Linked DNA regions of Rhinolophus ferrumequinum. The protein of the gene in region 1 purifies or fractionates together with the protein of each later gene. This does not show direct contact. Links are inferred from orthologs where the notes say so. Each region holds a gene or a part of one and is shown in the gene's direction. Other genes may lie near its edges. The genes, in order: MED9, MED18, POLR2B and MED16.

Region 1 (7,221 bases):
TATTTTTGGACTCCACGTAGCAGAAATGTATCACAAACATATTCATAGGTATTTGTGGTGTAGGTCCACTTAGAGCATCTGAAAGTTCAATTATTGGATGCAGTCTGGGTTTTGTGTTTGTGCTTGTAGTAACGGTTTGCTTCATAAGGAATAATTATGAGGGGTTTTTTGTTGTTGTTGAGAAATTAGAAAAAACAGCAGTAGTTGCCAAAGTTTAAATAGTGCTTACTACGTGGCAGGTATTGTTTGAAGCACTTTTACATTAACTCGTGTAACCCTTACAGCAGCCCTATTAGGTAGGTACCGTTATGATTTCACTTTGCAGATGAGGAAACTGAGGCAAGGAAGGTTAAATGACGTGTCCAAGGTCACACAGTTAGAAAGAGTAGAGCCTGGACTCTAATGTACCAAACTCCCAGGTGCCCATCCCCGTATTTGGCAATTGTTCATATTTTTCCAATTTACTTCCTCTTATAATACATAAATATATTTTAAAAATATAACACTATGCAGAGAGTTGCAGTGCGATCCCCATCCCATGAAGGTGTTTGCGTCTGTCTCAGCCTGTTGATAGTACTGCTTCAGTTAGGAGTGCCCGGGCACTCACCCGGGCCTGTGCCTCGTGGGGCCACCCCCACAGACGTTTCCCCCACCAGAACCAATACTGTGGCTGGACCAGCCCTTGTAGTTCTTTTTAAAAGCAAGGCACACCTCAGCAATAGCCATCAGGTAACTTTGCAAAAAACAAGGTTTATTACAAGTCCTGGAGAGTGCATGGCACTTCCAGGGTCATAGGCAGAGAGAGAGACAAGATCTGGGGTTCTGTCTCTATTGGGGTTGAGGGTGGGGTGCTTAGGGTTTCATGGGCTCACTCTCTTTTTGATGAATTTAAAACATAAGAGCAGGAATTGAGGCACAGGAAGGGAAAGCAAGTGGTCAAACTGCCAGTCAGTCCAGGTTCCCCAGGGCTTTCTGAAAGGTGAACTGAATGGTGGCTCTCTATCTGGTTGTGTAGCTGACAATACGATATTTACTTCAGAGGGAAGTCTTTGAAATGGATCCCACAGCAATTAAAAGCTTAAAGTCACACAATCAATCAACACAGCTAATTGTCAGACACTTCTACTTGAGTGAGGTATACCCTTCAGTTCCTTTCAAAAATATTTTTACTCGTACATCTACATCTTGTATCTTTGGACAATATACAGTGTTATTTTTCATATTTCAAACATTTGCATGAGTAGTACTACATTCTACTTCCTTTGTGAAACTTGCTTTTTTCCTCTCATCATTATGCTGAGTTCTGGCTATGTAGACACATATGGATCTCTCAACTGCAGCATCCAGTCCTGTGGCAGCTGGCCACATTTGGCTAGAAATGTGGCCTTTCGAATTTAGATATGCTGTCAGTGTAAAATGCATGCTGGATTTCTAAGACAGTGCGAAAAACAGTAAAAGGCCTCTAGCAGTGTTTGATATTGATTAAACGTTGAAATGATAGTATTTTGGATATATTGGATTAAATAGAATATATATCAAAATCAATTTCACCTGTTTCTTGTTATTTTTTAATGTAACTACTAGAAAATTGAAAGCGACCTATGTGGCTTGATTTACAGCTTGCATTATCTTTCTGCCGGAGAGCTCTGATCTAGATCCTTCCTCTTAACTGCGTTAGTCTGGGTTTTGTTAATTGGTAAAGAAGCAAGCCCTAAATCTGAATAATAAGAGCTAATATTTACTGTTCACAGATACTTTTCTAAATGATTTATATGTAATAACCCGTTCAGTCCTCCTGGGAAGTTGCGTGGCTGCACGAAGTGAGGTTGTGCAAAGTCATGTAATTTGAAGCAGGCTGAGCTGGGACTGAAGTCAGACAGACTGGCTCTAACGGCCTGACCTTGGAACCGCCAGCTTGACTGGAAAGGCCCTACGAGAAACAGAGTCAATTTGCCTAGGGAAGGACAAGATCCCTTAATTTGGTGATGTCTCTAAGAATACACAGTGCTTACGTATCAAGAGAGCATTTGCCTTTTTCAACTTGTAATGGACCGGTTCTGAACAGACACACATTTGTTGTGGCAATTTTAGCTTTAATGAAACCAGCACAGGTAGTATTTTTTTTGACACTGGCTTGCAATGTTATGAAGCCAGCTTTATTCTTTGCCACTAATTATATTAACTGTTTTTAGGGCAAATTGTCAATGCACCACACTCGTTTATGCTTCCTACATTTTCAATTTGTTTTCTTTAGCCATGTCTATTTATATCTAAAGTGTTTTTTTTTTCTTTTTTTAAAAAGATGTCCTCATTATTCTGCCAATGACAAAATTGGGGCTTGTAATTAAGTTGTAAAACACTGGGAGGGAAAAGATGACGTGTGATTGCCATGGGAATATTAACTGATGAATATTGGATTGCTTTTCGAATTCTGAATACAAATTTCACTGTTAACATTTCGAATCATGAAGTTACAGAACTGGTAGAGACCCAAGGTTTCTTATGTGTTGGGTAAGACCATAGGCTTGGTGTCAGGCAAACTGTGTGACCCTGGGGCCAGTATCTTAACCATTGTAAGCCTTAGTTTTGTCATTGTAAGGTCCTTCACAAAATGGAGATACTAACACCTACCTTTTGAGCTCTTTTGTTGATTAAATGAGATGATTGTGACTCTGTTTTATGTGCCTACCTTCATTGCACGGCAGTTGTGGTCATTACTGTTTTTATTAGTAGCAGTTGTAGAATCACTATCATTATCATTATTAGTATTGCTATAGTATCATCATTATTTCCCCAGATGGCTCCAAGGGTATACAGTCTCTTTAAGCACACCTGCTCCTATCCCAACAGGATTTTCTCCTCCATTCTCCACCAGGGCTCTCGAACTCTTCCCGTAGGTAGAGAGATCCATGATTCACAGGAAGAAAACCCTGCAGCCTTCTCCCTCTGGGGTGCTGTGGGCAGCTCTTGCTGAAGAAAGCTGCGCTGAGGCCCTTCACTCTCTACAGCACACACTCCAACATCCCCACTTCCTTCTGCGGTCTTGCTCCCCTAGGATCTGTCTCCATAAACCCCTCCTGAGGCATCTGCAAATGTTACCATTGATGCTTTCCCTGGGATCAGTCCCTTGCTCTGAAGTGCTACTGCTCATCTTGCCACCTGAATGTGGACTTCCTGACCTCTCTTTAAGGCTCATGGTGGTAGACGGAGGAAGAATGGGGCTGTCCTAGTTCATTACTTCTTCCACTCACTAACTAGGCTTAGGATGGGTGTCCCCATTGCCCAGAAATTATACTTGTTTTGAGGAACATAACCACAAACCCACTTTGAGGGTTACCCACTTTGGCCTAGGATGCTAGAGGGTCCTGAAACCAGACCTTTGGAGATAACCATGGATCTGAAATTAGAAAGCAGTTTAGGGTCTGCCGTGACCCTGAGTTAAAGAATGTATTAGAGGTGAGGAAACTGGGGCCTAGGAGCTTAAGAGACTGGCACACAGGTACGGAGAGTACCTGAGGTTGACTTTGCTCTAGGATATGGTATTTATTCCTGGCACGAATCCCGTTCTGCTTTGTATTAGTGAAGACAGCCTCCTGTCCCCTCCCCCCACATTTAGTACATCATCTATCGTCCAGAAGATGCATATTAAATGCTGAATCATTAGCTTCTCTCTATCCAGCCTTGCAGAGCTCTGAGGGCTGTGCCTCTGCGTGCTAGGGCTCGCACCGGGTCTCGCACTATCAGCTCCATCAGGGTTTGCTGCCTCTCCTCCTGGAGGCTCCTGCGTGGCGTAGGGCTGTAGGTCCTTCACCTCTGGATTTTCAATGTCCTTAGGGCTCAGTGCCTTAACATAACAGGTGCTTGGTAAGTGGTGTCTACTCTGCTCACCGTTCAAGTTGGTTCTTTGGGAGACCTCTGAGGGCTGGGCCATGCCGACCGAGCCTTTTTTATCTAAAGCCTTCCTCCAGTAGCTGCTTTTGGACCCTCTTCGTTAAGTGAATAGGAATAAGATGTTATTTCTGAGGCAAATCCCCTATTTCTGACTACTTAATAATTTGGTTATCTTCACAACCAAATCCCGGCCACCTTAGACCTGCCAATCAACTGTTGCCTAGTAACATCCGGCCCGCCCCCGTGCCTTCCGCCCCAGCGCCCAATTGCGCACGATCACAGGTCCCGCCCCCTGCGGGCGTGCGGAAGTGACGTTGAGGGACCGCGACGCCTTCGGCCGGCAAGTGGATCGGGTCCGGCGGACTGACGGAAGCCGGAGCGCCATGGCCTCTGCCGGGGTGGCCTCCGGGCGACAGGCTGAGGATGCGTTACCGCCGCCGGCCGAGCCGCCGCTGCCCGAGACGAAGCCGCAGCCGCCGCTGCCGGTCGCCGCGCCTCAGCCGCAGCAGTCGGCGGCGCCGAGGCCTCAGTCACCGGCGGGCGTGAAAGAGGAGACCTACTCCTTTTTACCTTTGGTTCACAACATCATCAAATGGTAAGGGCCCGGGAGAGGACCAGCCGCGACGCGCCCTCCCTCTTCCCGTCACGTTTCACAGCTGCAAAGGCCTAGGTGCTCTCGGTACACCCCCGTTTTATAGATGGGGAAACTGAGACCCAGAGGGGGAGGAGGCCTTTCCCAGGACCTCACTGAGTCGTTCCGTGAGTTCAGCACATGCTTGGAGCCCTAGAGCTGCCAGACCTCGTGTGGCTGGCCGGGCGACGTTCTTAACTATGAAGCCAGCTTAGAGACTGAATGCACAGGCGCTGCAGTCAGGCTACTCAAGTTTGCATCCTAGTGAGGTGGCGCAAGGCGAGCTTCTCTGAGCCTCGGGATTTTCCCCCGTGATATAGGGGCAACACTCATTTTAGTTTCCTTCTTCCGACAGATCCAACAGATAGGATCATCTTCCCTGTGTGGCACACTGCCTAGTGCTGTGGGACGCACAGTAAAAGGGCCAACTTTTCGTCCCTACATTGCTTACCAGTTAGAAGGGGAAAAGGGACAAACGGGAATAGCTCACAGTTCAAAAAGGTTGGTGGGTGACAATGGGAAACATTAAAGAAAACAACGACACAGAAGTTGCCCACCAGAATGGATCCTGTAGTAGTGACTTTGTTCTAACATAGTATCAAAATGGGTGATTGGCCGCCTTTTGGCCATTCTTCAGGTTAGCCTGAGTTTTCAAACTGACCCTGTAAAGGAAACTAAAAGCCACAACCAAAAATCTCCTTGATCCCAATGTTTGCCTAAATTATTTTTACTGTTATGTTATTTATATGCACATAATACTCGGTGTAAACCCCTTGGCTTGTAAATTATTCAACCATTAAAAACCCAAACAAAGTAAATTAAAATGATTATTATAGTAATGTTCAGGTGAACATATATGTGCTCTTGGTGTTTTGCTGAAGTGGAATTGCTACACACAACATGCAAGGATTGGCTGTTAGTGACCCAGCCTCTTTTGAGTTCAGCCGGACAAGGTTCACTTGCTGTGGATTGATGACCTGATGCTTCCGCCACTTTTCAAACAACTGCACGCTCTTTGTTCTCACATTAGGCCCTGGTTTCATTTCGCCTCACTGGGTGTGACCATACTGTGTACAGGGAAAGACAGACTCTGTTCTCTTTAGCCTGTGATCATCAAGTAGCACTTCTCTGCAGCAGTAAGAGCGCAGACAGCAGAAATGCAGACTCTGCAATCCCAGGGCAGTGCTAGATTACAAATACATGTTTGAAGAAAAACAAGAAAAACGAAAACAAAATACACACATTCTCGGAGACAGTTCTCGGACACCCCGGGAGTATGTTCTGGAGCCCCAGTAAGACAGTTGGGTTGAGCTGGCCTTGAAGATGGGGCACAAGTATGTGGATGGAAGGAGCCCTGCCTCCGGGCGGTGAGCACACAATGTGATACACAGATGATGTAACACAGAACTGTACATCTGAAACCTATGTCACTTTGCTAACCATTGTCACCCCAATACACTTTAATTAAAAAAAAAAAAAAAGATGGGGCAGGAAGGTACACTAGAGAAAACATGGGCTTAAAGTCAGATAGCCTTGGATTAAAATCTCATGCTGTTGCTTGCTTGCCTGGTAATCTTGGTGAATACTGAACCTTTCTGGGCCTCAATTTTCTTCTCTCTACTGTGAGAATAATAATAATGCACTTCCAACAGTGGGTTCAAATTACAGCTTTGTACTGAACTGACTGAGTGACCTCGGTCAAACAAGTTAGCTCCTCTGAGCCTCTCTTTCTCTTGTAAAGTGGGACTAATAATACTTAAATCATAAGATTGTTGTGAGGTGTACTCAAGAGCAGTCTCTGGTGAAAGATGGTAGGTTGATTACGTCTTGGTCTCTGTTTCCTCTAAAAGGACAGTGAAGAGTTGTTTTGTTTTAAGCACAAAACCAAAAGAACAGGACAGGAACGAATTGCCACAAAGCAGATGGCCAAGGGCTCACCCCCCACCCCACCCCAAGAAGCAGCCTGAAGCAACTGCCTTTGACCATGGCCTGTCTGTCCCCAAATCTCAGGAGTTGGCAGTACCAGGGACCTCTGGATGTAGGGGTGAAGGGAGACTGAGAACAGGAGGATTACTTAAAAGTCTGTTTTTTAAGAGGGAGACCCCCATAGCTCTCTCCCCCAACTCTAAGCAGACAGGTGACTACCATTCTTCCATCTTGGAAGACAATTAAAGGGTTGCTCTTTCCCAAGATGTATTCTTAGGAAAGAATAAGCCAGAGAGTATCTGGTCTGGAGGGACAGCAAGCACATTGCAGGACTGTGAGGGAGGGAACCGGATGGAAAACCCGGCTTAAGAGAAAGTTCTCGCACTGAATACTGAGACCCCACCCTTGCCTTCCCCACCTGGCTTCTAGAGTGGCAGCCGGAGACAATAGAGTCACCTGCTCTTGCGTGTCTGACCAGCCCAAGAGAAAAGTGATTGGGGGCTCCCCAAGAAAGAACCTAGTCAGTTCACATGACTGGATAGCCAAGGTCACTAAGCGTGTGAAGAAAGCCCCTAGTAAGAGAGGACAAAGCAGAGGAGCAGAAGAAGCCACGTGAAGGAAACGGGGTAGTGCGCACAGAGGAGAGAAACTAACCCTGAAAACGGGCGAGGATCCGATTTTAAAGTACGCCTACGTATGTTTGAGTTTACAGGCTAATGAGGGAGACCTTGTGACTCCTGGAGGAGTCATAGGGGTGACGCCAGTGATGAGTC
Region 2 (6,957 bases), on another chromosome or scaffold:
AAGTTGTTGGTGTGTAGCAACTCTTCAATAATTGGCAGCTATTGTGATGTGTTCCACAAACTTTTTGAACACTTAGTACATGTAAAGCACACTGTTATGGACGTTAGTGTCCCCCAAAATTCATGTGTTGATATCCTACTTCCCTATATCATCGTATTAGGAGGTGGGGCCTTTAGGAGGTGCTTAGGATTAGATGAGGTCCTGAGGGAAGTGCCCTCATGAATGGGATTAGCGCACTTATAAGAGACCTGAGTTCGCTTTGCTCTGCTCATCATGTGAGGATATGAGAAGTCAGCAATCTACAACCCAGAAGAGGGCTATCACTAGAACCTGACTATGCTGTCACCTTAATCTCAGACCTCTAGCCTCCAGAACTGTGAAAAATAAAGTCCTGTTATTTATAAGCCACCCAGTTTATGCTGTTATTATGTTTATTATGTTATATGTTTATTATGTTATAACAGCCCAAGCTAAGACACATACATATAAAGAAAATAAATGATTCCTCCCTTCAAGATGTTTACATCCGTCCGGGGGGGTGAGATCTGCACAAAGTATATTCAATAAGACAGAATTTATTTGCTCAAATGAGAGATATCAAATATAATAATAATAGCTACCATTTATTGACTGTTTGCAATAAGCCAGGCACTATGCTAAGTGTTTCATAAACATTTTATTTTTGCAATCTCTGCCTTAGAAATTTTTTTTATCTCTATTTTACAAAAATAGGAAGCTGAGGCTCAGAGAGGGGAAGTGAATTGCCCAAGGTTGCACAGCTGTGTAGTGGCAGAGGACAGATGTGAGCCCAGTTCTAAGCTCCAGACCTCACATCCTTATCAAAGAAACGCATCCCTTTAATTCCTAGGCCTTATCCAAATTTTACCATATTATTCATCCATTTCCTGTATATATATATATATATATATATTTTAAATTTAACCCTACTATACAATGCCAGCTAAAATTTGAGTAAATACTTTGGTGCCTCAAAGAACCCATGATTCACTAAATTTTCCATTCTGGTTGATGTCTATATAGGAAAAGAGAGGCCCAGCAATTTTACAACCTCCTCCAGTCATTACAGCACTGAGAACTTGTCATTCTGCCCAATATTGTGAACCACCAGGCTTATCAGGAGGCACATCCTAAGCCCTGGGGTATACACAGCTCAAATAACTGTCAGAATCCTATACAAGTTTCAGTTCTTAGCCATCTTCTCTTCCTATTCTGTACACTCTTTCAGGGTAATCTCATTTGTTCTCATGCCTTTAGCTACTGTTTTTGAAGCTCTGACTCTGAAATCTCTACCTCTAGCCCAGCTCTCTCTCCCCTGCACATCGGCTGGGCACTGCACTTGGGTGTTCCTGAAACACCTCATGCTTATTGTATCTACATATGAACTCATCTTTCCTGCCTCACCTACATGACTTCGTGTTTCTTAGCTCAGAAAAAAGCATTACTATGGCATCCAAGGTAGAAATTTAGACATTTGTGACTCCCTCTCCCTGTCTTTACCTGTTTACTCATCAAATGATTCTCTTATATTTTTAAAATCTGTCTTTTCTTCTGCAATTATCTCTCATTTGGAGTTGTGCCAAAGCTCCTAACTGGTCTTATTTCTCCAGGCCCTCCTTTCCGAAGCTTTTCTCCACATTGCAGCCAGAGTGAGCTCTTTAAAGCTCACATCTCTACTTTAGTCTGATGTGAAAAATCCTCCAGAATCTGGGCCCAACTCCTCCAGACTCATTTCTCATCCCTTCTAACCTCAGATTCTGTATCCTAATTCTATTGAACTCAATGACCTTATATACATGTTGTTCCCACTACCTAGAATTCCCTTTCCTCCCTTCTTTATCTGGCTGACACCCACCGTGAATCCCCGAAAATAAGACCTAACCGGAAAATAAGCCCTAGAATGATTTTTCAGGATGACATCCTCTGAACATCCCCCTAACGTGTCTTTTGGAGCAAAAATTAATATAAGACCCAGTCTTATTTTGGGGGAAACACGGTATTGTTCCTTCAGGTTACTTTAGGCATTAATTACTTTATTATTATTATTATTATTATTTATTATTTTATTGGGGAAGGGGAACAGGACTTTATTGGGGAACAGTGTGTACTTCCAGGACTTTTTTTTTTTTCCTAAGTCAAGTTGTTGTCCTTTCAATCTTAGATGTGGAGGGTGCCATTCAGCTACAAGTTGTTGTCCTTTCAGTCTTAGTTGTGGAGGGCGCAGCTCAGTTGCCATTGCTAGTTGCAGGGGGCGCAGCCCACCATCCCTTGCTGGAGTCAAACCGGCAACCTTGTGGTTGAGAGCCCACGCTTCAACCAACTGAGACATCTGGGAGCTCAGTGGCAGCTCAGCTCAGGTGCCATGTTCAATCTTAGTTGCAGGGGGAGGAGCCCACCATCCCTTGACGGACTCGAGGAATTGAATTGGCAACCTTGTGGTTGAGAGCCCACTGGCCCATGTGGGAATCGAACCAGCAGCCTTCGGAGTTAGGAGCAGGAGCTCCAACCACCTGAGCCACCGGGCCGGCCCCCATTAATTACTTTTTTAAAAAATAAATTTTATTGGGAAATATTGGGGGACAGTGTGTTTCTCCAGGCCCCATTAGCTCCAAGTCGTTGTCCTTCAATCTAGTTGTGGAGGGCGCAGCTCAGCTCCAATTCCAGTCGCTGTTTTCAATCTTTAGTTGCAGGGAACACAGCCCACCATACCAACCAGCAACCTTGTTTTAAGAGCTCACGCTGTAACCAACTGAGCCATCCGGCCACCCCAGCATTAATTACCTTTTCCAGGAATCCTCCCCTGATGCCCCCAAGATGAATCAAGCAAACTGGTTGTTTCCCAAGCAGCTGAGCTATTTATATTCCATTATCCTATTAAATCGAATCACATGGTACTGTCTCCGTTTAATTCTGATTGCCACAACTTGCCCATAAACCCTTTTGAGGGCAGAGATAAAGTCAACAACAGTTAACAGAATGTCTAGAACACAACAGACTTTCAAGAAATATTCAATTTAAAAAAATGAATGAATGGGCAGTAGTATAGATTCCAGTGGGGGAGCTAGAGCTAGAAGTGTCCGTTTAATGTAATAATTTAAGAGCTTGGGCTCTGGAATCAGCAGCTTAGATCTGTATCCCTGCTTCTCCACTCCCTCGCACGTTTTTTAACTTCTTGCCTACGTCTCCCCATCTGTAAAATTACAGGAATACTTGGCTTCTAGGGCTGCTGTGAAGATCCAAATTTGAAATTTTGATATTTTGTTCATTAATGGTTTTTTGGTATTAAATTTGTAAAATGTTGCATTAAAGTATTATTTATCTTAGTTACTGAGTTTTTTGGTGTCCCCTTAAATTTTTTGCTCCAGGAGAGTGCCTCATTCACTTAACTTTAGTCCCCACTTTGTCCGCCCTCTCCTATCTGCATGACACATAAGTAGCGTTCAATAAATACTCGTTGAATTTACTTAACACTCTATATTTTTAAATTGAAGTTAAAATATACACAGTAAAGTGAACAAATATTAAGTGTATTGTTGAGCTCTTTAATTGTTCAGAACATTATGCTAAGCAGCAAATGTCTTTTCTTTTCACCTTCAGGTACCCAACAAAAAGTCTTTGTTTTATAAATAGTCTCTCTTTATTCTGCAGCTCCCTTCCCCAGGCTCTCTTCCCCCCCTCGTCAGTTCCAAGAGATTTCCTAGACAAAAACATCTCCAGGTCGTCGAACTAGAAAAAAAAAAAAATGTCCTGGAGGACAGCCTATGACGTCAAGGTTTTCCCTCCACCCCGTAACTCCCAGAAGAACGCTTCCACGGAGGCCGCCATCTTCCAAGCAGCAGTGTCGCATCTTGCGCATGCGCTTCTGCTTGCCGGTCAAAGAGCGATTTCAAGCCCTGTCGGTACCCTTAGGCTGCGCGGCGGCGGCGGCGGTGGGGAGGTTTGTACTACGTCGGCTTCTTGGCCGGAAGCGAGAAGAGGAGGAAGGAGTGTTGCAATGTCCAGGGGTTTGAATTTTAAGGCGGGGGGCTAATTGTCGCTCTTAAGCTTAGAAATGCTTGGGTAGATATAATTCTCCGCTTTATGAGAAGAGGGTAGAGCGCGCACGGAGGTGTAAGTGGTCACGTGTTCTCGATGCTGGTTTAGGAGCACCTAAACCATCATCTTAACTTCGCGCTTCCGCCTGGCTCGCTTTAAAAGCCGTTTTCAGAGAGGCGGAACGCCCGGATTTTATTCTGGTGCGCGCTCTGCTACCAGTTGACTGTGTCCTTGGGCTCTTCTCCGCTGCTCAGTATCCTTCCTCATCTATATATTGAAGGACAGGCAAGTCCCTTAGTCACCGTTCAGTTTTTCTGAGTATTATTATATGTCCATTATGTCATCTGAGCCAGAAAGTCTTGGGGGCTAAATATCGTTGACCCCATTTTACAAGGAAGACGTTGAGTCCCAGGGTGAGAGGTTTGATGACTTCTTCAAGATTGAACAGAACGTTTGTAAAGATTTCAGACCTTGAGGGTAGAAAATTGTGCTCTAACTCCGTGGTCGGGTTTCCTTTGTGTATTTCTATATCATTAGTTCCTGAAACTGGACCATAGCAGTTACTCAAAAAGTTTTGAGTGAACCAGTGAATCTTGATGTTAAGACCAATGACAGAAGCAGATCTGGTGTCTTTACCTCTCTGATGTACTAAGTAGTGTAATTCTTCTCCAGGTGTATCCTGTGCTTTTCTTGATTGGGGACTCGGAATCCAGTCTAAATTCTTCAACTTAATTAGACACCATGGAGGCACCTCCGGTCACCATGATGCCTGTCACTGGAGGCACCATTAACATGATGGAGTACCTGCTGCAGGGTAAGTGAACCTGAGCGCTTGGATTACCTGTTTTCCTCTTTTCTGTTCAGCTTCTGTGGAGATGAGAGCCTGTTAGGCCAAAGCAGCCTGCGTAACCCAATAGACTTTTTTAAAAAAGTTTACTTTTATTTATGGTCACAAACGCATAACGTTAAATTTACCATCTTAAACATTTTCACATCTACAGTTCAGCAGTGTTACGTATATTCACATTGTTGTATAGATGATCTCTAGAACTTTTTCATCTTGCAAAACTGCAACACTATACCCATGAAACACTTAATTCCCCTCCTTCCCACCCCCAGCCCTTGGCAACCACCTTTCTACTTTCTGTTTTTGATTTTGACTACTTTAGATACCTCCTATGAGTGGAATCATAGAACTTTAGTCTTTTTATGACAGACAGGCTTATGTCACTTAGCCTCAAGTCATCCATATTGTAGTATGTGACAGGATCCCCTTCTTTAAGGCTGAATAATATTCAATTTTATGTATATACCACATTTCTTTACCTGTACATCTGTTGATGGACATTTGGATTGCTTCCACCTCTTGGTTATTGTGAATAATGCTGTAATCAACATGCGTGTGCAAATATCTCTCCAAGATCCTGCTTTGAATTCTTTTGGATATATACCCAGAAGTGGGATTGCTGGATCATATGGTAATTCTATGATACTCTTATTAGTTAGCTCCATCTTATAGATCAGGAAACAGGTAAAGTAACTTGCCCAGAGGAGAAAACTCGAGACCCAGAAAGGTTAATGATTTTCAGAAGGTCATATAATGTTTAGTGAAAGAGTTTAGGCTTTAATTCAGATCCTTCATTTAGTAACTTCATATGAACAAAATAGGGTTATTAATTTTCACTCCTCAAGCTCCTCCTCTTTCGGTCTTTCCCGTTTTGGTAAGAGCCACTGCCATTCACCAGTTGCTTGAGCCAAGCATTCAGGAGTCAATCTCCATTTTTTCCTTTATCCTACATCTAGTATATCTCTAAGTCCTATTCATTTTACTTCCAAAATATACTTTAAATGTGTCTTTTCTCCACCTGCAGTACCACACCCTGGTTTATCATCCCTGAATTGTTTTAGCAATCTCTCACTTACTACATTGCTTCTACTTTTGATCATTTCTTCTCACACAATAGCTAGTCATCTTTTAAAAACTTGTTTTATTATTCAAAAATTCAAACATATAGAAAATAGAGACTATTATAGTAGACACTACATTTCCATCATCTAGATTTCAGTTTCCATAATTTTGCCATATTTGCTTCATCTTTTTTCTTTTGCTGTTTTTAAAGAAAATTTCAGACCTCATAACATTTTATCCCTGGACACTTCAGTATACATCTCTTTAAAAAAAGTATATTTTCCTTCATAACCCCAATACCATCATTATTATCTTAAAAAATGAATAATATATTTTTAGTATCATCTAATACCTAGTCTATATTCAAAAATTTCCCCCTAATTGTCCCAAAAATGTGATTTGTAACCAGGATGCAATCAGGTTTAATGCATTACGTTTGATAATTGTGTCTTTTAAGTCTTTTAATTTGGACCAGTCTACCTTTGCCCCCACTTTTTTCCCCCATGACTGTGTCTTGGTGGAGTCCATCAGTTTTCCTGGAATTAGTTATTTTTATTTTTATTGGGGAATATTGGGGAACAGTGTTTTTCCAGGACCCATCAGCTCCATGTCAAGTTGTTGTTTCCTCATTGTTTTCAATCTAGTTGTGGAGGGTGCAGCTCACTGGCCCATGTGGGAATCGAACCTGCGACCTTGGTGTTAATGAGCACCACACTCTAACTACTGAGCCAGTCAGCTGCCCTGGAATGATCTTTTTAAGATGTAAATCTATTCATGTCTTTCCCTATTGTGTGGAGAATAAAATGTGGAACTAATAGCTGCCCAATGACCTTAGAATAAAATGCAGCCTTTATCATGGACCATATGTAAGGCCTGCAGGCTTTGGCCCATGGCAATTCCTCATTTCATTATCATTTGCCATCTCACTCACTACACTTCAGCCACACTGATATCCTTTCATTTCCTTAAGTTCCTCAGGCCCTTTTCTTATTCTG
Region 3 (7,106 bases), on another chromosome or scaffold:
TGTCCAGGAGATCCTGCCATGGATTAAAAAGATATATAATACTATTCTCAGTTATGCTCATCTGAGGGCACTTATACAAGAAATTCAGTTCTTAGTGTCAGACAAAAACAAGTTAGAAACCATTCTGAAAACGTGCCTGGATGGATGAACAGCCTGTCTCAGAGGAGGAAATAATGTCTATAGGTAGGAAATAATGACAAAGAATCAGGATTGTCAGCACAGGAAGTACTCAGGAAGTTGGATGAGCCAATGAAAGAGAAGAAAATGGGAGAGTGAGGAAAAGACAGGACATCATACTTTAAAATACCTCAAAGTCTGGCAAGGGAAACAGGCATGCATTTCATACACCTTGAGGAACAATGGGCATACGTTACAGGGAGACTGTTCAGCTCCACAAAAAGAGCAGGTCAGAGATCAAATAGGTTACCTTGGGAGGCAAGGTGACACTGCTTCAGCTGATAGTGAGTCACTCCTCACTTCAGGTCAAGCTGGACGCCCTCTTGATGGCTATGTTATAGAGGGGATTCAAGCATGGACTAGGTGGCCGGACTGCAGTGATATTTATGATTTCTTCCAACCTCAAAATCTACGCTTCTGTAAATGTCTTGCTAACTAAGGTAACAACCACAATACTGTAAGTAGGGTGTCAGCAGTGAAGCCCACCAAATGGAATACAGAACTTGATGGCATACAGATTCATTCCTGAACTGTTGCTATGAATGAATCAGAACTGAGTCTATAAGGAAAGTATACCTCCTTTCCTGTGTTCTGTCAATTAAGACGGTACTCATACAATTGAAGGTTAATCTAAAGTTTCTAAAAAACATCAAATACATACACAATTTTCTTTTGTAATTCCAGGGGTGTCATAAAACCAGTGGGCATCTTTCACATCTTGTGGGGTCAGTTCTACTCGTTTGGTGGACTTATCTGCAACCATCACAGGTTCATTTTCCATGTCAAAGGCAAGTGAATCAGCATCAAACTCAAAGGCAGCTTCATCCTTCTGTTCTTCTGAATACAAGAATGTTCTTCCAACTCGTCCTAGAATAAGTTATATTGAAGTTATTAGCCACTCCTTTAAAGCCTTTGACTCCAGACAGGTAATTCTCATGTTCAACTCAAGTTACGAAGACTAATATGGGGTATGTAAGTGAGACTACAATGATAGCTTTGCTTTTTTCTTTCTAAGTCAGTGGGAGTCAGACTCTTGTGATCATCAAGTGTGTGGCTGGCTGTGTATATCAGAGGGAGGTGGGTGGTGAGAACTGGTGGAAGTCAAACTGCATTTGTAAATGAAGGTTGAAAAGAGATAACCAATGAAAGGGGGACCATCTAATTTAGAGCTGCTGCATGGAGTCAACAACCTGTACTGGTCTTCAAGGAGCGAGGCTACATCTTTGTGGAAATTCTTCTGCTGACAATGGCTAGGTGGGCAGTTGCTTCATGATTCCTTTCCAGCATTTCTCCAAGTATCTACTGTCTCAGTTTTCTTAGCACAGTGAACTCTGGCTTTCCAAACATCCACCTTGCCTCTAAAGGGCCTCTATATTCCAGAACGAGAAAAGTAGTCTCTCCCAGCAAAAACTGGCTAGCCTCAGACAGCTGTATTTCAGGTTGCTCAACAAAGAATTTGAGCATAGATCCACCAAGAGTTTTCCTCTAGAAGATGCTTACCTACTACATAACCATGCTTTTTCAGGAGAGTAAGTTGATTTTGTTCTAGCTGACTAAGATCTTCTTCAACTTCATTTGCATTTTTTTTTAGCCTTTTTTGCCTTTCAAACATTCTGTAAGGAGTTGGGTTGCAAATAGGAAACTTCAGAAGGTTTAATGTAGTACCTGAAATATCAAAGAATACATTTTTATAAACATTGCACAAGGGAATAAAGGGAGGAAAGCTAATATTTTCAAGGAGCAACACTGTCTTGGGCACTGTAATTTATTTCACTTAACCTTCATGACAACCCTCTACAAAATTATTCTTACTTTACAGATGAGGAAATAGATTCAGAGAATGGCTCACAGGCTCAACCTGGAGGTGAATCCCAAACCCGCAGGCCTGATTTCTTTCCATCTTCACCATACTATATAAAAGTACTTCTGTGTATAATTCATAGTTTAGGACAGCAAAGAACAGCTTACCAAGCAAAATCAAACACTGGTTTCAAAGGAACAAATAATGCCATTAATTTTGCCAACTATTAAATACAAACAGGGTCATAGATGGACCCATTTCCCAGTCACAGAAGTTCCCTGAAGCCACAAAATTGACGTCTTCTAAAGCCATACATCATATTGCATTAGTGAACTATTTAAATGTTAAACATGTGTGGCAAACTGATATCATGAACTCAAGATATGAAGAGTAAGATTGAGGGGTAAAGGGAGGTTTAGAAAGTCAAAGGGTTTTTCTGGGAAACATACAAAGTAAAGCCACAAGAGAAACCTCCAAGAAAGCAGGAACTTTGCTTTGTTCTCTGGTTTATCTCCAGTGCCTAGAACAGTGACCGAAAGATAGAAGTAAATATTTCTATCAGGAAGTTACTATGATAGAAACACAAATATTTCTATCAGGAAGTTACTATGACATATACTAACTTTTCAAGCACTAAGCTGACACAGAAGAGAGGTGTGACCAAAGTAGGGAGAGAATTTTTACAGGGAAGGATCCAGACACTCCCTGGTGGCTTTAAGGGGCAGGCATCCTAAGGCTCACCAGGCCAAGGGGAGATGGTAGCTCTGTCGATTGCCTCAGCGCCCTTGGCGATGCAGTAATCCGACTCCAGGAGCGTGTTGAAGAGAGTGGACTTGCCAGCGTTGGTGGCGCCAACCAGGTAGACGTCGCCGCGGTAGCGCCAGGAGCGCTGAAGCGCAGAGATCAATTCTTCCACTCCATAGCCAGTCTTGGCGCTGATGAGCCGCACGTCCCTGAGCACGGTGCGGGACCCGGTGGAAGCGTTCCAATTCTTCTGCCCGTCCGGTGGCCCGTCCCCGCCGGGGTGCTGTGGCCCTAAGTGGCCAGGGAGCCGCAGGAGCCCGGCGCGGGCACAGTCGTCCCACAGCCGCTCCCGGAGCCGCTGTAGGTAGCCGGGAGCGTCCTGGGGAAGCAGGTCCACCTTGTTTCCCAGCACGATCAGCTGCTTGGGGCCTACCAGCGCGGGCAAGTCGGGCAGCAGGGCGTCGGGCAGATCGAGCAGGTCCACCATGTACAGCACCAGGGCGGGTCCGGGCCGCCGCAGAGCGGCGCTCACCAACTCCAGGTATTGCTCGCGGCTCACCTGCAGGCGCAGGGCGCGCCGGTGATGCACCAGCAGCCAGCAGCGCTGGCACACGGTCCGCGCCAGCCCGCCGTCGGCCTGCGCTGCCGCGCTAAGAAACTTCTCACTGGGCAGGTAGCCGGGCACGGCAGGGTCCTGGCAATGCAGCTCCGCCCCGCAGCCCGAGCAATTCAGGCCGCTCCGCGGCACCGTCGGGTCCGGGTGCCCCACGACCGGGTGCACCCGGCGGCTGGTCCGTAACTTCTGCAGCCGCCGCTCCTCCTGCCGCTGTTGCTTCTGTCGCTCCTCCTCCTCCTGCCGCTGCTGCAGCTCGCGCAGCTGCTCTTCTAGGGTCGGTGCGGGCTCCGGCTCCGGGACGTACTCGGGGAACAGAAAACGCTCCTCCATGTCATCCCTGCCTTCGTAACCCCCAGTCGCCGTCGGGCCACCAGGAAGCTCACGTCCCAGGCCCGACAGGTGCTGGGAGGAGGGGGCGGCCGCGCATCTTCTCTTGAGGAGCGGATCCCAGAGGCCATGGCACGCTACGGTGGGAACCGAACCCCGCAGCAAGGGGCACAGCAGTCTACGGGTTAGGAGTGCAGGTAGCATGGGGAACCCGGCCCTGTACCAAGGGGCGGAGCCACTTGTGCGCACGCGTACTGGGGCCCATGTGGCATATTAAACCCGAGATTAAGCCCGGAACTACCTGAAAACTGTCAGGCACTTTTCGGCTCCTCCTCCCGCATCTAATCTCGTAAATTCTCGCGATGAAAGCCCCAAGGCTTAAGAGCCCGCTCAAAGATGTGGCAAAGGTACCGGACGGAGACCTAGAGTGTGCCGGTTGGGCAGAAGAAGCTTGTGAGGGTTTGGTCACTTTCAGCCTTCTTCAATGCGCCACCAATGGCATAACCCGCCTTTAATAAGCCACGTTTTAAAAAGCACTGTTTTTCGGCTTTAAAAGTGCAAAAAGTACAACGTCGAATGCCATACGCTGACGGCCACAATGAACACTTTTTACTAATTAAGTCTCTTATTTCTTTTTTTCAGGTGTCATTATTTGTGCAATATTGAAAAACGACCAAAAACTTTTCATTGGCTGGAACCGATCTTCAGACTGTAGGAGTGGTGTGCGCAATCAGCCACCGGACCCGTAGGCCTGCAGTTTGCGCGTGCGCAATTCTAACCCTTGTCCACTTTAGCCTACCATATGCGCAGGCGCAGATCTTACGTTGGCTTCTTTGTGGGTGGCCTTTGGCGGAAGACGCAGAGTATTCTGGGAACGCCGTCGGCGGAAATTACTTTGTCTCAGGCTCCTGGTGCTGGTCGTTGGTGCGCACCGTTCTGTCTGTGATTTCAAGAGCTTAGAGTTCGGGAACCGTTTGCAAACATGTATGACGCGGACGAGGGTAGGTGACCGCTCAGAACACTCCCCGGCGACCCATCTAAGTAGGGAAACGTGGGGAGCTGGACGAATTGAGGATTGGCCTTCCTCCTAGCCCGTTGCACAAGTGTCCACAGTCATGTTCCCTGCATACCCCAGGCCGGGGACGAAGCCGGGATTACGAGAGGTGGAGGGTGCAGGGAATGTAGCATTAATATTCCCGGTCTGAGTGGCACTTGTTCCTTCCATTGTCTGCTGGATAAATCATACCTCCTTCCTGTATTGGAATAGCGTGCAGAACCCTAACATAAATTCCGTTGTTTTGACTTTGTGTGCAGTGAAGGGTTCCTTTTTTCATTTTCCTTAAGGCCAGAATTAGTGGATTTATTGAATTTATGAGCGTCAACCTGGGCCAGGCTTTGTGTTAGTCTTTGGAAATACACCGGGGACAAAAAATACAGTGTGTGGTTGGACGGGGTTGGTCTAGTTTGGCATTCCTTCAATGCTGTCATACATCTAAGGCAATTGTCTGAAAAGAGGACATTTAAATTTCCTTTTCCCACAAAATAACATAGTTCTTAGATGGTACGTGTTCTACTGAACAGGGCCAATATATCTTTTCACGTGCCGAATTAGTCATGTCTCCTGTATTTTCATTATGTATTTTTAAAGCTCCCCTTTCCATTCTCCACAGCTACTATTTCAAACTTCATTTACTTCTAGCTCCCAGCCCGTAGCCACCCTTCACATTTCTTATTACCTCAGCTACTTCAAGGAGAAACTAGAAAAACAAAAGCTTAAACTCTGCTGTTTAAATTACTCTGTGTCAATTACATCTTGAGTCTAGAAATGTATTAGCATTACTATATTCCCTTAACGCCTCTCTGAGTGGAAAAGAAATTCAAAAAATTTTTCTTAATTTAATTTTTTGATTAGGTAATGTATTTCTGTGTCTCATAAGCCAGAAAATACAAAAATGTTAGTGTCAGGTCTCTTTTCTTGCCCACCATCTCCCAGTGTGAACCCCCTTCATAGTAGGTACCCACTTGTCTTAGATTATCACTCCATAGTGTTTTATGTACATTCAAGGAAATAAGTGGGATTCTGTTGCCACCACCCACCCATAGGAACATTTACACTTTTCTGTGTTTTTTATTTTTTACGTTTTATATATATATATATATATATATATATATATATATATATATATATATGTCTATGTGTGTATATGTGTGTGTGTGTGTGTGTGTGTGTATTTATCTACCTGGGAGATTTTCATATCCATAGAGAGCATTCTCATTTCCCCCCCCCCCAATGCTACGTAGTTTGAATGGATATGCCATAACTTTAGTGTCTTATTGATGGACATTTGGGTTATTTCCCCTTTTTCTTCCCGTGGTTCAAACAGTGCTGGAATTAATAATCTTGTACTTTTTTTTGTTTAGTACAAGTATGTCTGTAGGATAATTTCTAGATGTAGAAATGTCAGGTCAAATGATATACATGTTTAACATTTTGCTAAGTGACCAGATGGTGCCAAGTGACCATGATAGTGATTGTTGTGCTTTATCCTCTCATTCGCCATGTTAATAAATAATTCTGTGGAAAAAAGAGTTACAAGTCATCCTCTTGATAAAAGTCTTCTTCAGCTTTGAGTTTACATTCCTGCCTGTGTCCTTTGTATCTTTTATTAGATTTGTCAGTTTTCAGACACTCCTTTTCAGTTGGCTTCTTTCTATGTGAATTATTAGATCTCTTTTGTCCATAAGAAAATAAGTTAAACTCTTTATTGTTTCCTTTTTTCCCAATATTTTGCCTTTGGAAGGCAAAGCTTTCCACATTTCACAGCAAGCTTCTAAAAAGAATAGGCTGTCCTTGATTCAACCCCCACCTTTCAGGTTCTCCTCAACGCACTGCAATCTAATTCTGCTCATGCCACTACATTAAAACAGCTTTTAATAAGAATATCAGTGACTTCTCAGTTGGTAAATCAGGTGGGCATTTTTAAACTTTATCCAGACCCAGTGGTATTCAATATTGTTGATGACTTCCTTCTGGAACTCCTTTCTTTTGCCAGATCACTCTGACTTAATGGCTCTTACCTATGTTGTGACTTTCCTTTTTATCCTTTTCTGTTCACATTCTTCCTGGATGATTTCATCCATTCTCCATGGCTTCATTTACCATTTTATGTGAACGACTTCTGAAAATATATTTCCAGTCCAGATGTTTTGTATGTCTAACTGCCACTAGACAGTTTCACATGGATGTCTCTCAGGCCCTTCAAACTTGTCATTATTCAAATTGGTCATTTTCCTTTCCTCATCCCCCTTCCAAAGCTGCTTCCTTTTGTGTTCTCCATCTCAGTGAATGGTATCACCCTCCTCTGTTGTTGAAATCAGAATCCAGGGCATGATTCTTGATTCTTCTTCTTCACCCCTATACCTAGTGAGTCATCAAGCCCT
Region 4 (7,785 bases), on another chromosome or scaffold:
GGCTTGTCTGTCCTGCAGGGAACGCTGGAGACCTGGGAGGAGAGGCTGCTGAGGTTCTTCTCTGTGTCCCCCCAGGCCGTGTACACAGCCATGCTGGACAACAGGTGACGGGTGGGGGCGGGCACTGTGAGCTCCCTGGGTGGCCAGTTTCAGCTCATGGCCACTCACCTCCTGTTCCTCCTCAGCTTCGAAAGACTCCTGCTCCACGCCATCTGCCAGTATATGGACCTCATCTCAGCCAGTAAGTGCCTGGGGCCTGGGACCCCCAAATGAGCCAATTTGGCCACAGCAAACTGAGGCCAAATGGGGTCTGCTCACTCAGCCAGAGGCTTCTGGGGGCTGCGGAACAGCCTGAGCAAAGCGGTGGCAGTGGGACACTGTGAGGCTCCTGTGGCCCTGGCGCTACTCTGAGTGACACAGTGTAACAGACACCCCTTCATCCACATCTTCAGGTCCATGGGGAGAGAAGGACCTGTGTGGGGATGATGAAGCTGGGCCTCAAGGGGCCCTGAGATTACATGAGGGTACCCCAGTGTCTGCACGTTCCTCATTTAGCTATAGCCCCCTTCCCCTGTGCCATACATGTGACTTCTGGCAAGTAACCCCTCCTGGGACCTGTGTCCCCACTTTACAGGAGGGGGTGGTCTCGGGACACAGCCCCCCCAGGAAGGGTGCTCACACGCCCTAGCTGGCCCTGAGCGCCCCCAATAGGAACTCCCCGTGCCTCTCTCTCTCTGCCTCCTGCCCAGAGTTGCTGAGACAATTTCCATGGCAACCCCAGGATGGTTCATCCTGAGATTCCTGAAGCTCTCCCTCACAGGAAAGCAGCCCCCATGCTTCCCTTTGTTCCCATAGACTCAGGATGTTTGCTTTTGTTCCCATAGGCTTAGGATGGAGGGACTGGGCTGGGGGTGCAAGATGGGGAGCAGGGGAGAGGGAAAAGCCGGGCCTGCACGGAGGAGGTGCCAGGGGAGGACTGAGCTTCAGAGATCCTGAGGGCAGGTATGGACGCAGGGGACCAGGAAAGAGGTGCGACACTTGTTCAGGGCCCGTGTCCCCTTGGCCTCCAGCCTCTGTGTCAGTGTGCCCATCTAAACACGGGATGAAGGACACAAAGGATGAAACAGGGTGCAGAGGGAGGCCCTAACGTAGCAACTGCTCTTTGCGGGAGTCTGGCCCTGGGACCTGGGGCGGGGGAGGGGGTCACATCAGACAGACCCTAAGTGCCAGCTTGCAGTGACTTCTGGCAGGGAAGAGCCAGAACTCGGTGCCTCTGTGTGCCATGACTCTCACGTTCCTTTCATTCTTGCCCCACTTGTCCCCTCTTGCAGGTGCTGACCTGGAGGGCAAGAGGCAGATGAAAGTCAGCAATCGTCACCTGGACTTCCTGCCACCTGGGCTGCTACTGTCTGCTTACCTGGAGCAGCGCAGCTGATGGCGGCCCTGCCTGCCGGCTCCTCTCCCCCACCAAGACTTCCCATACCATCTGCTAAAATATGTTTGTTATTTTTAGAGTTTGTCCTTGAAGATGTGCTCACCCCCTTGGGGAAGCGGTCTCCTCACCCTGGCCCCAGCCCGGCTCAGCTCTCCCAGGTGAACAGCTGGCAGCTGGGGCTGCCCCAAACTATCCCAGGGCCCCGTAGCTCCCCACTCTGGGACTTGTATTTGGGTGGGGAGACCGGTCTGTTCACTTTGATGTTCCTTCTTGATTCAGTTTTTTGTGCCCAGTCTGAAGCTTAAGTGAGAAGTAGCTGGGTTTTTATCACTTAATTCGGTGTGATTTGTTGTAGATTTTTAAATTTCCCATTTGGGAAGAAAAACCAAATACTTGCCCCAACTGATACATTGGGGGGCTTTCTTCTAGTCCCTGCTTTACCCCCTCCCAGTTTTAGGCTAGGATGGGGAGGTCTCTGGGGTGCTGCCCAGAAGCAGTCCATCTTCTCTGTGTGTGTGTGTGTGTGTGTGTGTGTGTGTGTGTGTGAGAGAGAGAGAGAGAGAGAGAGAGAGAGAGAGAGAGAGAGAGAGAGAGAGTGTGTGTGTGTCTGGGTACGCGTGGGCATACCAGTGCTCGTGACCCTAGACAAGCTGTGGCTTAAAGGCTGGTTTTAACCCTCTTTGGAATGTGTGTCAACGGGTGCCTTTTTGTGGCTTTTGGGGCCCTGCCTGCTCTACCACTCCCCCCACCTCCAACGTTTCTCCCCTCCTTTCATACTGGAGGTCTGGGACTTCCAGCCAGAAGCTCCCTCCCTCGGACTGCCACTTTCCCCACTCCATGTCCCCATGTCCCCTCACCTTTCCCCTCCTTCAGCCTGGCTCTAGCCTATTGGTTTGGGGTTTTCTCTTGCTGGTCACCCTGTCCTGGTCCAGAGAAGCAGGGCTGGGGGACACCCCACTCCCGTGTATGTGGTTAGTTGCTCATTGAGGAAAGTGGAGAGTTCAATAAATTTCTGGTGCTCTGGTCTCCAGCTGTGGGGTTTTCTTTTGGGGCAGGGCTGGGGCCCAACAGGCCCTCATGATGCTCTTGCGCCCTGGTCGCTGAGGGCTGTGGGCCTGGGGGGAGTAGCTTCACGCTGAGTTGCAGCCAGAGTGTGAGGCAGGTGGCAGAGAGACTTCTGGGAGCATCTGGCCATTGGCTCTGCCGCCCTGGCCCCTCACTGGTGCTTAGGTTCAAACCCCAGGTCTGCCACTTCCCAGCTGTATGATCCCCGCCCCCCAGCTGCATGAACTCGTGGAAGGTTTCTGAAGCAGCAGGAAGAAATATCCCACACTGTGCTGAAAACCACAGGGATTTCTCGTCTCCCAGGTCTGGAAGCCAGAAGTCCAAACTCAAGGTGTGGCAGGGCTGCGCTCCCTCCGGAGGCTCAAGGGGAGGGTCCTTCCTGCTTCTCTCAGCTCCTCGGGACTCCAGTGTCGCTTGGTTTGTGGCTACATCCCTGTGGCCTGTGCCTCCGTGGTCGTCACGTGGCTTTCTCCCTGCGTCTCTTCACGTTGTCTTCCCTCTATGTATGTCTGAGACTGGCCGGGGGTCCTGCAGGACCTCCCCATCCGGGTTTTCTGCTGTTTCCCCCATGATTGCACTGAGGGAAGCGCCCTGCTCATCTGATCACATCAGGGTCCCTGCTGTCCCAATTGCTCCTCACGGCTGACTTTGACGCTGATCTCCTGGCCGGGGTGCTTTTCAGGCTTCTGCACTGGGAAGTTAAACCACGCCCCACCCAGCCCCACCTGCCCTCTCGGAATGAGTCGCCTTGAGCAGCCAACGCGGAGGGATGGGAGTTTCCTAGAGGGCGGAGAATCTACGTTAATTCGATAGAAATTTTGCAAGGTAGGGCTGTGGATCTGGAGGAAGAGTTTCTATGGCTGTGGATATGGGGGAGGAGCTTCGCGTTGAGTGACAGCCGGAGAGTGAGGCAGGTGGAGAGACTGGAAGTGTCTGGCGGTTGGCTCGGCCGCCCTGGCCCCTCCCTGGTTCCTCGTTCAAACCTCAGCTCCGCCACGTCTCCCCGGCGCGGTGCCTGTATTTATTCAATCATTTATGTCTTTGTGGAGGGGTGGGTATTTACTTCCTACTACTTTGGGTTATAATCCAGTATGACTTCATTTTGTTGCAGAAATGACTCCAGGATTGGCCCCTGGGAGCTCTCCTGGAGGGCTCCCATGTCTCTTTGAGGCATCCCCATCATTGTGGGGTAATTTTCTGAGCACGGTCCTGACTTCCTGCCGCTACAAGATGCTCCTGCTCGGCTGGTGTATTTCTCTCAGGTGCCTGGTTCCTTTTATCCGGGCACTGTTTTGGAAACCAGTGGGCGCTGGGTGCACTGTATTCCATTTTAATATGCATTTAAATAATTTTAAAGATAGACGCTGAATAATGGAAATCCAAATGGCTAGTACGGAGGACAAAAGGAGATATTTGAGTCGCCAGCTCGGAGCCTCCCATCTGCGAAGGGGACCGAGTCCCCAGGTTCCCAGAGGACAGGATTCGGCCTCGGGCATGGGGCTCTGGGGGCCCACACAGGCCTCTCCCACTGCCACGCGGGTTCGAGTCTTGTCCTCGACATATGCTGGCTGTGTCAAGTTCTTCCAGCCGGGGTTCCCAGGCTGCCGGGTTCCCAGGCTGCCGGGTTCCCAGGGCCTCCAGGCCTTTGTCCAGGAGGTGCCTTACGCCCGGTGCACCCTTCCGTGCAATCCCCGGGGGTTCTTCCTGGGGAAGACCCTTCAAACTGGGGAAAGTCTGGCAGGAACAGAAGCAGCTTTTGGAGGAGGAATTGAGGATGGGGTTTGAATCCAGAAGAGCCCTCAATTGGATAAGGTACCTGGGCTTATCAGCGCCTCAGTTTCCCCACCTATAAACATTATACAGAAGTAGAGAACAAACAGAACTAGCTTTTAGAGGACTTAGTGATGGGGTTTGAGACCGGAAGCAACTTCGATTGGGTAAACCACTTCCTTTATTTTGTCGCAGTTCCTGATACCAGGAAAGAGAAAAATATGGAACGCTTCACGAATTTGCGTGTCATCCTTGCGCAGGGGCCATGCTAATCTTCTCTGTATCGTTCCAATTTTAGTATATGTGCTGCCGAAGCGAGCACAGTTCGACTTGTGACCCGAGAACTATTTAAAGGGTAAAGATAAAATTTCTTTACACTAACGGTGAACCTCGTTACAAAAGTTTAGCAACAAATTCTTATATGATGTTAGGGTAACATATAGCGGAACCAAATGCGGTCATTTACTGGAGTTGAAAAAGTGTTTCTTTTTCTACCAAATAAAACTCAGGTGGCTGCTGGGAATTATTAATGCCTATATTCAAACGACCCGGAAGTGGGGCGGAGCCGGAGCCGCCGCCGTCCCAGAAGTCTCCGGGAAGCTGTCGCGCTGCGCGGTCGAGTTGTTGGTCGTGGGGAAAGAGAGTGGCGCTGGAACCGGGGAGTTAGGACGAGTGCTGTATGCGGCCGTGGTGTACGGGCCCGTCCGGTGAGCGCGGGACTACGACGGCCCGGAGGGTCAGCCGGCCTCCTGACGGCCCAGGGCAGCGCGGCCCGGAGAAGGCGGGGACTCCTGGGCCCTGGGCGGGGTCTGTGGGGTCAGAGGGCGGGTCTGGAGAGCAAAGGGTTCTGGGTACGTGGCCTGGGCCGCGCTAGGCTTGGTCTGGGGTTTTTGGCGGCAACTCGGGGTCCGGAGCTGGGGGAAATTGGGGCGGGGTCTAGGGATTGTTTGTCCCTGAGGAGGGTCCTCGGACGAATGGAGGGGAGGCTTGAGGGTCTGGGAGACTGGGGGGCGGGACCTAAAGATTGCGCGGGGCCCCTGTGATGGAGTCTGGGTACCGAGGGAGAATTGGAGGTGGGGTCCTGGAAGCCAGGTATCTGGGGGGTGGGGTTTGGAAAGCAAAGGTTGTTGGGGGCGTGGCTGGAGGTCTTTGGGGACTGAGCTGGGGGATTGGTTGGGGTCTCTGGAGCGGAGCCTGAGAGTTTAGGCTGGGCCTGGGAGCTCAAGGAACAAATTGGGAGCGGGGTTTGGAAAGCAAAGATTGAAGGGGATGGGGATGGAAGGCTTTGGGAGCGGAACTTAAAGTGTTGAAGGGGCTTGTGGCGCGGCTTTGTTGTTCTGGAGCAGGGCCTGGAGAATTGGGGACGTGGGGGTTGATCGTATTAACAATCTGACTGGGCTTTTGTGATGGTGAAAGGAAATAACCTATAATTGATGCCGGGCACATAGCTCTGAGGAAACGTTCGCCTCTATTGTTAGCGCTCCACTCAGCACGTCCCACACTAAGACCAAACTGCTGACTCCCCGCCAACCCGGCCAAAGGCAGCCCCACCAGTGCCCTGCCTTCCGAGTAAACCCAGGATCCGACCTCTTCTTACAGTTGCCACTGCCGTCCACCTTGTTACTGGCCTGGACCAGTGCAGTTACTTCCACCCCATCTCCTAAGCTGTACCCTGCAGAGAGCCAGAGGGGTCCTGTTGAAACATAAATAGGTCACAGCCCTCCTGGGGCTCCCACCTCACTCTGGGTGAAAGTTCACCGTCACCCCCACCCTCAGCTCAGCTGCGTGGCCACTTCTTCAGTACCCTAGACTCAGTCCAGCCTCTGTACCTTTGCGGTGGCTGTACCCTCTGCTAGGAATGCTCTTCCCCAGACATCTCCATGCCTCAGACCTCCCTCACACCCATGCTCATATGTTGTCTCCCTGGTGTGGCCTCCTTGACCCTCCATGTTTAAAATGCAGCTCTCCCCACCCCATCCCCAAAACCCAAGGTCAGGGATTGGGCCCTTTTCATTCTCTGGCGACCCAGCATCCAGCATAACTTTTAGTGCCCTACAGGTGCTCAGTGAATGCTACGATGAGCTAGTCCTCTCTGTCACTCCCTCAGGTGGTCATTCCCTCCCTCAGGTGACTGGTGTGTGACCTGTGACAGATGGATCTGGCTTATGTCTGCGAGTGGGAGAAATGGCCCAAGAGCACCCACTGCCCATCAGTGCCCCTGGCGTGCGCCTGGTCCTGCCGCAACCTCATCGCCTTCACCACAGACCTCCGGAACGACGACCAGGGTGTGTCCCCTCACCTCCAGCCCAGCTCCCTGTCCTTCCTCTCCCCACACAGGCTCCCACAGTACCTGGAACACTGCTATTGGGCAACTCCAAGTCTCCAGGCCTGCCTGGGAGCTATCTTCCACCCATCCAGGCCCTCTTAGGGCTTCCTCACTTGTAACTGGGGGAGGTGAGGGTCTCATCCTCACAGGAGTGCAAAGGGCAGGTGCATTGAACTGCTGCCTGCTGTCCTCGGTGAACCTCGCATTGAAGTGCTGGCTACTGTGGGGATGCTCTCCTACCCCTGTGTGATAGGAGGGGCTGAGGGTGGGCAGCCCACTCCGGTTTGTTGGAGACTAGTGCCTCAGTTTCCGGGCCGTACATGTCACTGTTTGGCTTTTGAAAGCCTCTAAGGTGCACGGATGCTGGGCTGTCTTCTCTCCATCATCCGAGTAATGTGCACTCATTACAGAAAATTTAAAAAGCGCAGGAACTGAGGAAAAAGAACCACCTGTCACCTTCCATGTCAGCATGTATGGGGTCATTTTCTTCCCTTTCTGTTTTCTGGGTCTCTTAACAATGTGGTTGTAGACACACTGGTGGCAGACTCCCGGGCCTGCTCTGTTCTCCCTTGGGGACACGGCCTGTTCCTCGTTACTGCCTGGGCCGTCGATCTGGTCAGCAGCACCTCCATGACTCCCCTGTGGGTGGGACATTCTCTGGCTTCCTCCCTGAGTCCCCCTGGGGTCATTGGTTGCCTCAGGGCCATGTCATTGTCACCTTGCTGACCATGCCCTGTCCCCCACCCCGGCAGACCTGACCCGACTGATCCACATCCTGGACACGGAGCATCCCTGGGATGTGCACTCTATCAACTCAGGGCACAGCGAGGCCATCACCTGCCTTGAGTGGGACCAGTCAGGTGAGGGCAGAGCCGAGGGTGTTCCTGCATGGCGGAGGGAGACCACGGTGGTGCTCACCCTTGACTCTGAATCCCAGGGTCACATGCTCTGTCTTTTCCTGGTTATGTCCCCAGAGTCCAGAGCTGGAACTCGAACCTTTGACCTGTGGCTTTGCAGCTGCTGCTGTTCCTGTTCCCCATGTCCAGAGCCATTTCCTCAGCATACCTTGTGCCACTCCCCTGGGCTGCTTTCTCCCAGGCCCTTAACATACTGCGGTGATTATCCCTTCCCGCAGTGGGGGTTTGTGATGCAGGTTTGCCCCCCACAGGCTCCCGGCTACTGTCAGCTG

What was found.
Region 2: the proteins of MED9 (region 1) and MED18 purify together in Homo sapiens (affinity purification with mass spectrometry; 6 studies listed by BioGRID and IntAct, counting the BioPlex papers as one, with this or other methods). This does not show direct contact. The link is inferred for Rhinolophus ferrumequinum from reciprocal best matches to the Homo sapiens genes MED9 and MED18.
Region 3: the proteins of MED9 (region 1) and POLR2B purify together in Homo sapiens (affinity purification with mass spectrometry; 4 studies listed by BioGRID and IntAct, with this or other methods). This does not show direct contact. The link is inferred for Rhinolophus ferrumequinum from reciprocal best matches to the Homo sapiens genes MED9 and POLR2B.
Region 4: the proteins of MED9 (region 1) and MED16 purify together in Homo sapiens (affinity purification with mass spectrometry; 5 studies listed by BioGRID and IntAct, with this or other methods). This does not show direct contact. The link is inferred for Rhinolophus ferrumequinum from reciprocal best matches to the Homo sapiens genes MED9 and MED16.

Annotation. Positions count from the first base shown.
Region 1 is NC_046304.1:1,260,231-1,267,451, reverse strand, and holds the start of MED9 (mediator of RNA polymerase II transcription subunit 9), read left to right. Parts: upstream 1-4,201; 5' UTR 4,202-4,274; coding exon 4,275-4,486; intron 4,487-7,221.
Region 2 is NC_046292.1:19,448,819-19,455,775, forward strand, and holds the start of MED18 (mediator of RNA polymerase II transcription subunit 18), read left to right. Parts: upstream 1-3,937; 5' UTR 3,938-4,128; exon of another isoform or gene 4,129-4,725; 5' UTR 4,726-4,794; coding exon 4,795-4,867; intron 4,868-6,957. UniProt on the Homo sapiens protein: Component of the Mediator complex, a coactivator involved in the regulated transcription of nearly all RNA polymerase II-dependent genes.
Region 3 is NC_046288.1:18,688,126-18,695,231, forward strand, and holds the start of POLR2B (DNA-directed RNA polymerase II subunit RPB2), read left to right. Parts: upstream 1-4,094; 5' UTR 4,095-4,647; coding exon 4,648-4,666; intron 4,667-7,106. Other genes in the region: NOA1 (nitric oxide-associated protein 1), read right to left, coding at 839-1,044, 1,678-1,842, 2,720-3,869. UniProt on the Homo sapiens protein: Catalytic core component of RNA polymerase II (Pol II), a DNA-dependent RNA polymerase which synthesizes mRNA precursors and many functional non-coding RNAs using the four ribonucleoside triphosphates as substrates.
Region 4 is NC_046301.1:62,029,080-62,036,864, forward strand, and holds the start of MED16 (mediator of RNA polymerase II transcription subunit 16), read left to right. Parts: upstream 1-4,779; 5' UTR 4,780-4,977; intron 4,978-6,397; 5' UTR 6,398-6,422; coding exon 6,423-6,555; intron 6,556-7,348; coding exon 7,349-7,456; intron 7,457-7,764; coding exon 7,765-7,785. Other genes in the region: R3HDM4 (R3H domain-containing protein 4), read left to right, coding at 19-104, 186-241, 1,332-1,435. UniProt on the Homo sapiens protein: Component of the Mediator complex, a coactivator involved in the regulated transcription of nearly all RNA polymerase II-dependent genes.